Neodiprion lecontei: one gene and its partner. The protein of the gene in region 1 interacts with the protein of each later gene in a pairwise test. Links are inferred from orthologs where the notes say so. Each region holds a gene or a part of one and is shown in the gene's direction. Other genes may lie near its edges.

Region 1 (3,758 bases):
GTTGCATATCTGCAGGCGCTTTGGATGCTCTGACACGCTACAAGTATAATTTTGTTAATACGACTCAAAATTTCAACTGTACTATTCTCATTCAACAATCAGGCATATATTCGAAGTAAGATATAATTTGTGAATTTGGAATTTTGTGAATATAGGGCATTGAACTTTTGAGTATTTAGTTCTTTTCTAGAACTGAAAATACATTTAGTAAATAATGTATTATTCGGATTATAAAATTTCAACCACGCCAAATGCAATTTCAACCTATGCAGGTAGCAACGATAACTCAGTACATAATATCAAATTTCTGTTTCATTTTTACTTGAGAAATGCAATGAATTTGCGCCTAATAGCTGCAACACATAACGCATCAAACAAATGTAGAGCTACACGAAATAAAAAATTCTAAGCTCACGCCTGCGCTCCAGAATATAGCTAGATTCCTGTTTACGCCCTCAAAGCCTCGATGTGGGCTGTCAAATGACAGTTGCAGCCTCAAAGAACAAAAAAAATTGGTTGCAATCAATTGTGTGATGATATACGAAGCGTTGTGAAATAACTGGCAGTGTTTCAGGAGCCTGGTAACACTATCTTAATTCTTAGGTAATAAAATGTTAATTTCGAGGTTGGAATGATGATTTTCAGAAAATACACCGAGTACGTACGCATATCCGAAAGACAAGTTTCATCTATGGAATCGCTGGCACTCTTTTCAGACCACCAATCACTATTTTCCCAAGGTTTCTTATCCAACTCCAAGCAGCGCACAGTGTTGCATAAGACTCAATAATAGCACAATGATTGTGGTCAGTTCTTTGACCTACAAGTCTGTGAATCTGGTGATTCTAACCAAACTTTAAAAAACCACTCACACGAGTCATAGTTTCTCTTCTGTAAGAACATGAGCCACAACAAGCAATTTAATTTAAAGCACTCTAACCTTGTCAGTGATTCGATATATTAAATTATTCCTCACATTTCAGACGGAAGAGCTGCTAGACCGACCACAAAAGCCAGTCATCACTGATGCTTGAATAATAAAGAAAACCTGAATAATTAAATAAAATTTGTTGATGCAATGGCTGTGATAAAACATGCGCTAAAACGAGAACTGTTTGCGCCAGCCGATCAGCAATTGCTTAGTCTCTGTCATGTTTGTAAGGCTTTTAAAAAAAAAAAGACTAGCTTTTTATGTATCGTTAGAACAACTGACACCCCAGGCTCACTATTGCTTTGCCAAGTTAAAAAAAATGACAAGAATGTCTACAAGAAAAAACAGTCCTGGCCTCTGACTGATATACAAATGGTTGATGGTGTCAATATTGACTCGCTGGACCTGGAAATATACATCGATAAGGTCTATAAATGGACAGCCACCTACGCTCAAGAAAGAACAACGTTCATACGGAATTTATACACATATTCTTGTAGCATGCCGCAAAGACCTGAGTTTAAAAATATACCCAGTGATTGGATGATCGATCCTGCATCTCTTAAAGAAAGCGACAGCATTATTTTCACACCGGGTAAATAATTTTCAAACAACCTTGATGCTGTTGTTCAGAAAGATACATGTATCATTATGTATATTGAATTTTTTCAGATTTGTTGTCTCAACCTGTATCTGCAGATTATCAACCAATTACTGACAAGGAGGCTACGTATCTAGCATCGTTGATGGCAAGTTGTGACTATGCAGTCTCAGATGCAGAACGTTTTATGGAAACACTCTCTAAAGATCTATCGATATTAGATGGGGTAAGATATTCTCAATTTTTAAGGCACCAAATAATCAGTAAAGATAAAACATGTTAATAAATGTGAATATTTCTTACTTCAATAGCAAAATGTACAATCGGTCCTAGTTTCCGAGCCTCAAGTAATTCAATTAATGAATGGTATCGAGGCTGCTATTACCGAAGCATCCTTAGTAGAATCACGTCTTGCTGTCTATGACGAGGCACTTGGTAGAATCAGAGATGCAATGGCTAGAGTTGGTCAAAAAAACCAAGCCATTCATACGGCTAATCACAACGCTAGACTTCTCCTCGAACAGCTTGACGCTGTAATTGTAAGTGTGTAACTACAAGGATTCTGCCTGAGTATTCTACAATCTACAGATTTTCCCACTCACCTTTCGAATTTTTACTCAACTAGACACAACTGGATATACCAGCAGAACACCAACGCACATTGAGCGAAGCAGAACTTCCAGGAGGTAGAGAAGAGCTCGGACGAGCAGGAGTAGCTTTATTGAAAGCTACATCTGTTCCTTTACCTCCTGGTCTTGATAAATTAGGAGCTGCTTCGGAACAACGTCGGCGTCTGGACAAACTTAGAGCTAAATTCTCTTTGATTGTAGCCAGGCATCTGAACAATCTATTCATACACTTGGTTTGTCTCTATTTTCTCTTTCTTGCCGTATATTGCTTTAGGCAATAGTCTGTAACCATTATCTTACTTGACTTGATTTTCAGGGCAATGACACAGGCGAAGCCTCAACCTCGACAACAGATCTTACGCTGCCTACGCATCAAGCTGTACATCGTGAACTAGAACCATACACCGAATTGATGAGATTACTCAGAGCTTTGGATAACAAAGCATTCACTCAATTAACAAAAGTGTACACTGGCACCATGAGCAAATTATACCAGAGAGACCTAAAGCTATTTTTTGAGGAAGCAAAAACTCGCGTTACTAGCAAAAAACTTAATGGTGGGTATATATAACCTTACATAAATTCAGCCATAGTATATACGCAAAAGTAAACATTTTGTTGTGCATCTTACATATATTCACAGCCAATACATCGAAATCTAGTGGACAAAAAGGGGATGACTTGGTTAGTCCAGCGCCTCTTTGTCTCTTGGGTGGGGAGGTTTGGGCTCCTCAAGGAGAGGGAGCCCTCTTAGATTCTGTTCTAGATAGAGCTCTTTCTCAATTGCAGCCTGTCTGTCTCGCTGAACAAGCTTTTTGCGTTTCGTTTTTCCAGCTTGACTCGGTTCTGTCGCCCGTGAAGGTACAAAATATTTCTTTACTTACATTTCGTTGAATCACAGGTATATCGTTAGTTGCTTCTATTAGTTATAATATAGCAATTGATCAGTATATAATGCGTGAGGTGATTAATTGTTAAAAGGGAACTGAAGCGGACGAGACTGATAGTATTAGCAATGGAGCAACAAGTCCCGGATCAGCAAATTCTACTGCCAGTAAAAAGTTGGAAAGACAAGTTAACGAAGAAGTTAGAGCTACAATGGCTGCAATATTTCCATCCCTTGAGCCTGAATTGAACAATTTTATATCATATTTGGATAAAATAGACAGCTTGTAAGTTATTAGATTTCCGTTATCCTTAGCATTAATATTTCTGTCAAATAACTATAATTTACCCGACAATTCATTATCAGTTACGTTTGTAGTAAGAAAAATATTACTGTCCAACAACTTTAATAACAATAACAGCAAGTGAAACATTTTTTTTCCAGTTGGTGTTTATATGTACTAGTGCGGCTCTCACAGCACGTAATGTCAGCGCAGGATACGGGATCTTTTCTTTCAATGACATTTGCATCTGCACTTGTACAGGTGAAGAGATCGTTTGATAAATTTATGCAGGCGCAACTACAGTCTATCTTGCGTGACCCCAAAGTCAACCGTCGAACCAAATGTGGAATATTACCTTACGTTGAAAATCTTCAACCCTTTGCCCGAACTGCAGAACGGATATTCAAAAATTCTGATAGAAAAGTCGA
Region 2 (3,758 bases), about 14 Mb from region 1:
TTGTTTTTGGTACTTAATTTGCCATTTGTTACTCATCTTATATAAATTATACGGTCGTTTACAAATATTTGCTCCTTTCTCAATTTTCAGTGTTTCGTGCCTGTAGAGAAAATTGAAAAACAATGAAATAAATAAACAAATAGAAATTTACTACTACTTATATACCGTGGAAATTACAGTACAACAAACAGAAGCAAGTACCTATTATACAACTATACATAATAACACATACTTATAAACAATGAATGGACACTAAAATTAAATAATACAAATTTTTCAAATCTCTTATTTTCAGGGAAAGTAAATTTACATTATAACATAAACATTTGACTACACTATGATGCTGATGCTGATGATTATGGTGACAGTGATGATGATAAAAATGATGATGATATGATGATGATATTTTAGAAAGTTAAGATTTTACTGTAATAAGGATATGATTATATTTACTTGTAATATATAATTAAGTATGGATAAATTGATTTACGTGTTAAGGAACTATAATGTAACGTTCTGTGATTCGTTGTTTGTAGGTGAAATTTAATAAATGAATACTGTATCATAATAAGATATCCAGAAATTACTAAGTATATTTCAACCAAAAATAATATTTCATTATAATATTATTTACATTTTTGCGAAAATAGAAAATTCGAGGTAAAAACATTGTGAAACCTTATCGGAGAGCGGCTGTGTAAGTATACATTGTATACAACATACGATCTATGTGCATTTTATAATATTGAATCATCGTGATAGCGACTATTTAAAGCTCACCAAGCTCACAATACTAACAACAAGTAAATGTGAGAGAGATTAAACATTACGGGCTCAAGCTTCATTACAACTAGCGGGAAACAGTGTATATATGTGTACAGTTAATCTTATGTGCAGTATGACGCAATTGCTATTTATACGGAGCCTATTGACCCGTTATTCCATGTGGGCTGTAACATAATTCAGTTGAATATCTCGCGCAGGTTTTTAACTGGATAATAGCCGATTCGCAAGCCAATTAGAACCCACGCTCCAACAGAAATCACCGAGCAGACAGCGCAACGCGGAGTTATGGAACACCCGGCGATTACCCCACTTACTGAACACCCGTCGCTCTTCCGCACTCGCGTATAGTATCGAACGTGGAATCAACGACGACGAATGTGCCGAACGAGAATTTAGGTGAAGTCATTCTGAGCAAAGGTGTGTTGTTTTGTACCGTTTAGAGTGCACATTGTGAGCCGTAAAGTGACCGTTTGAAAATTAGATTTTAGGGTTGGTGCGGGAAACGATAATTAACCAAAAAAACAACGGGGCTGACAGTCCGTTCGATATTCCGAACACTATTCGGCCCGCTGCCACACCCCGCGGCCATTTTGGTGGATAACTACTGTGTACAAAGTCTCAATCATGGATCAAATAACACCCAAGGAGATTAAGATCCTTGAAAATCCTGCCGACATACAGGAGCGCAGGGATCAGGTCCTTGGACGTTACGCTAATTTTAAATCCGAGGCTCGTTTGAAGCGGGACAAACTTGAGGACTCCCGTCGCTTTCAGGTATGCCCTTTGGTGCTCGTGTACGTGTATGCGGGTGTGTATCGTGCGTTTTGACAGACGGAAATCGGTCGGATCAATCGTGTATTTTCGTCTTAAATTTATTTTCAATTAATCGCTGAAATAAATGAAACTGGTTATTCGATTCTTGATTGAAATCTTACACTAACGGGTACGTTGTGCATTTTTTTCTCCAGTATTTTAAGCGAGATGCGGACGAACTTGAGGGATGGATTTACGAGAAGCTCCAGGCCGCTTCCGACGAGAGTTACAAAGACCCGACGAATCTTCAAGCTAAGATTCAGAAACATCAGGCGTTCGAAGCTGAGGTAGCCGCTCATTCAAACGCCATCGTATTGCTCGACAACACAGGCTCAGAGATGATAGCTCAGCATCATTTCTCCTCTGACGTTATTCGCAAGAGGCTTGGTAAGCGTAGATTAATAGTTAACTGTGTTATTTCTTTCCCAAATGTAACAAGTACCCTTCGTTCATTTCTTCATACTTAACTGTAATTTTTGTATTATTAGAGGAACTGCATCGTCTTTGGGAGCTGCTCCTTTCTCGTTTGGCCGACAAGGGATTAAAACTTCAACAAGCTCTTGTTCTGGTGCAGTTTCTTCGTCATTGCGACGAAGTCATGTTCTGGATCCACGATAAGGAGGCTTTTGTCACTACAGACGAGTTTGGGCATGACTTAGAGCATGTCGAGGTTCTTCAGAGGAAATTTGACGAGTTTCAGAAAGATATGGCTAGCCAAGAGTACAGAGTAACAGAGGTTAATGAACTTGCTGACAAGCTTCTACTGGATGGGCATCCTGAGCGCGATACTATTCTCCGTAGAAAAGAAGAGCTAAATGAATCTTGGCAGAGGTTGAAGCAGCTCGCTATTCTCAGGCAGGAAAAATTGTTTGGTGCCCATGAGATACAGAGATTTAACCGAGATGCTGACGAAACTATGGCCTGGATTGCGGAGAAGGACGTCGTTCTGTCGTCTGATGATTTTGGCCGCGATTTGGCCAGCGTTCAGACACTTCAGCGCAAGCATGAGGGAATAGAACGTGATCTAGCTGCTCTGGAAGACAAGGTGGCCACTCTTGGTGCCGAAGCAGATCGCCTGGCTGCTATTCACCAGGCCGATCATTCCCAGCAGATCCAATCAAAGCATGCAGAAATATTGCAGCTCTGGGAAAGCTTGACGGCCAAGGCAAAGGAACGAAGATCCAAGTTGGACGAGTCCTACTACCTTCATCGATTCTTGACCGACTACAGGGATCTTGTTTCATGGATGAACGATATGCGAGCCATTATATCTGCAGACGAGCTTGCCAAAGACGTTGCAGGAGCAGAGGCGCTGCTGGAGCGACATCAAGAACACAAAGGAGAAATTGACGCACGGAAGGACAGTTTTGACTCGACTGCTCGTGCCGGTCAGCAACTTCTTGATAGGAAACATTATGCAGCAGATGAGGTAGCCAGGAAGTTGGAGTCTCTTGCTGAGGATAAGAAGTCCCTGTTAGATCTTTGGGAAAAACGTCGCATTCTGTACGAGCAATGCATGGACTTGCAGCTATTTTATCGGGACACAGAGCAGGCTGACGCCTGGATGGCAAAGCAGGAAGCATTCCTGGCTAACGAAGACCTTGGAGATTCCCTGGACAGTGTAGAAGCTCTAATCAAAAAACATGACGACTTTAACAAGTCCCTGGCTGCTCAAGATGAAAAAATCAAAGTGCTAGATGACTTTGCCCGTAAGCTTATCGAGGGTGATCATTACGCGGCTGAAGATGTATTCCAACGTCGGCAGCTCTTGCTCGAGCGGCGAGGTGCCCTTCTTGATAAATCTGCTCAAAGAAGACAGCGTTTGGCTGATGCTTACACGCTTCAACAGTTTGAGAGAGATTGCGACGAAACCAAGGGTTGGGTGAATGAAAAACTCAAATTCGCCACTGACGACAGCTACCTAGACCCAACGAATTTGAACGGCAAAGTACAGAAACATCAGAATTTCGAGCAGGAGTTGAATGCAAACAATACGCGCATGGAGGAAATTCTCAGCACAGGGCAAAAACTGATCGACGAAGAACATTATGCCAGTGATCGCATTCGTGCACGTCTTGACGAAATCACTGGTCTTTGGGACAGTCTTGTTCAGGCGACTGACAAAAAGGGATCTAAATTGCAAGAGGCTGCACAGCAGC

What was found. The genes of interacting proteins can lie anywhere in the genome.
Region 2: the proteins of exocyst complex component 1 (region 1) and spectrin alpha chain interact in a two-hybrid assay, tested with the Homo sapiens proteins (2 studies listed by BioGRID and IntAct). The link is inferred for Neodiprion lecontei from reciprocal best matches to the Homo sapiens genes EXOC1 and SPTAN1.

Annotation. Positions count from the first base shown.
Region 1 is NC_060263.1:29,175,912-29,179,669, reverse strand, and holds the start of exocyst complex component 1, read left to right. Parts: upstream 1-1,078; coding exon 1,079-1,526; intron 1,527-1,603; coding exon 1,604-1,758; intron 1,759-1,843; coding exon 1,844-2,071; intron 2,072-2,157; coding exon 2,158-2,394; intron 2,395-2,477; coding exon 2,478-2,718; intron 2,719-2,804; coding exon 2,805-3,022; intron 3,023-3,142; coding exon 3,143-3,333; intron 3,334-3,491; coding exon 3,492-3,758.
Region 2 is NC_060263.1:15,581,207-15,584,964, forward strand, and holds the start of spectrin alpha chain, read left to right. Parts: upstream 1-1,115; 5' UTR 1,116-1,203; exon of another isoform or gene 1,204-1,267; 5' UTR 1,268-1,410; coding exon 1,411-1,560; intron 1,561-1,754; coding exon 1,755-1,986; intron 1,987-2,087; coding exon 2,088-3,758. UniProt on the Homo sapiens protein: Fodrin, which seems to be involved in secretion, interacts with calmodulin in a calcium-dependent manner and is thus candidate for the calcium-dependent movement of the cytoskeleton at the membrane.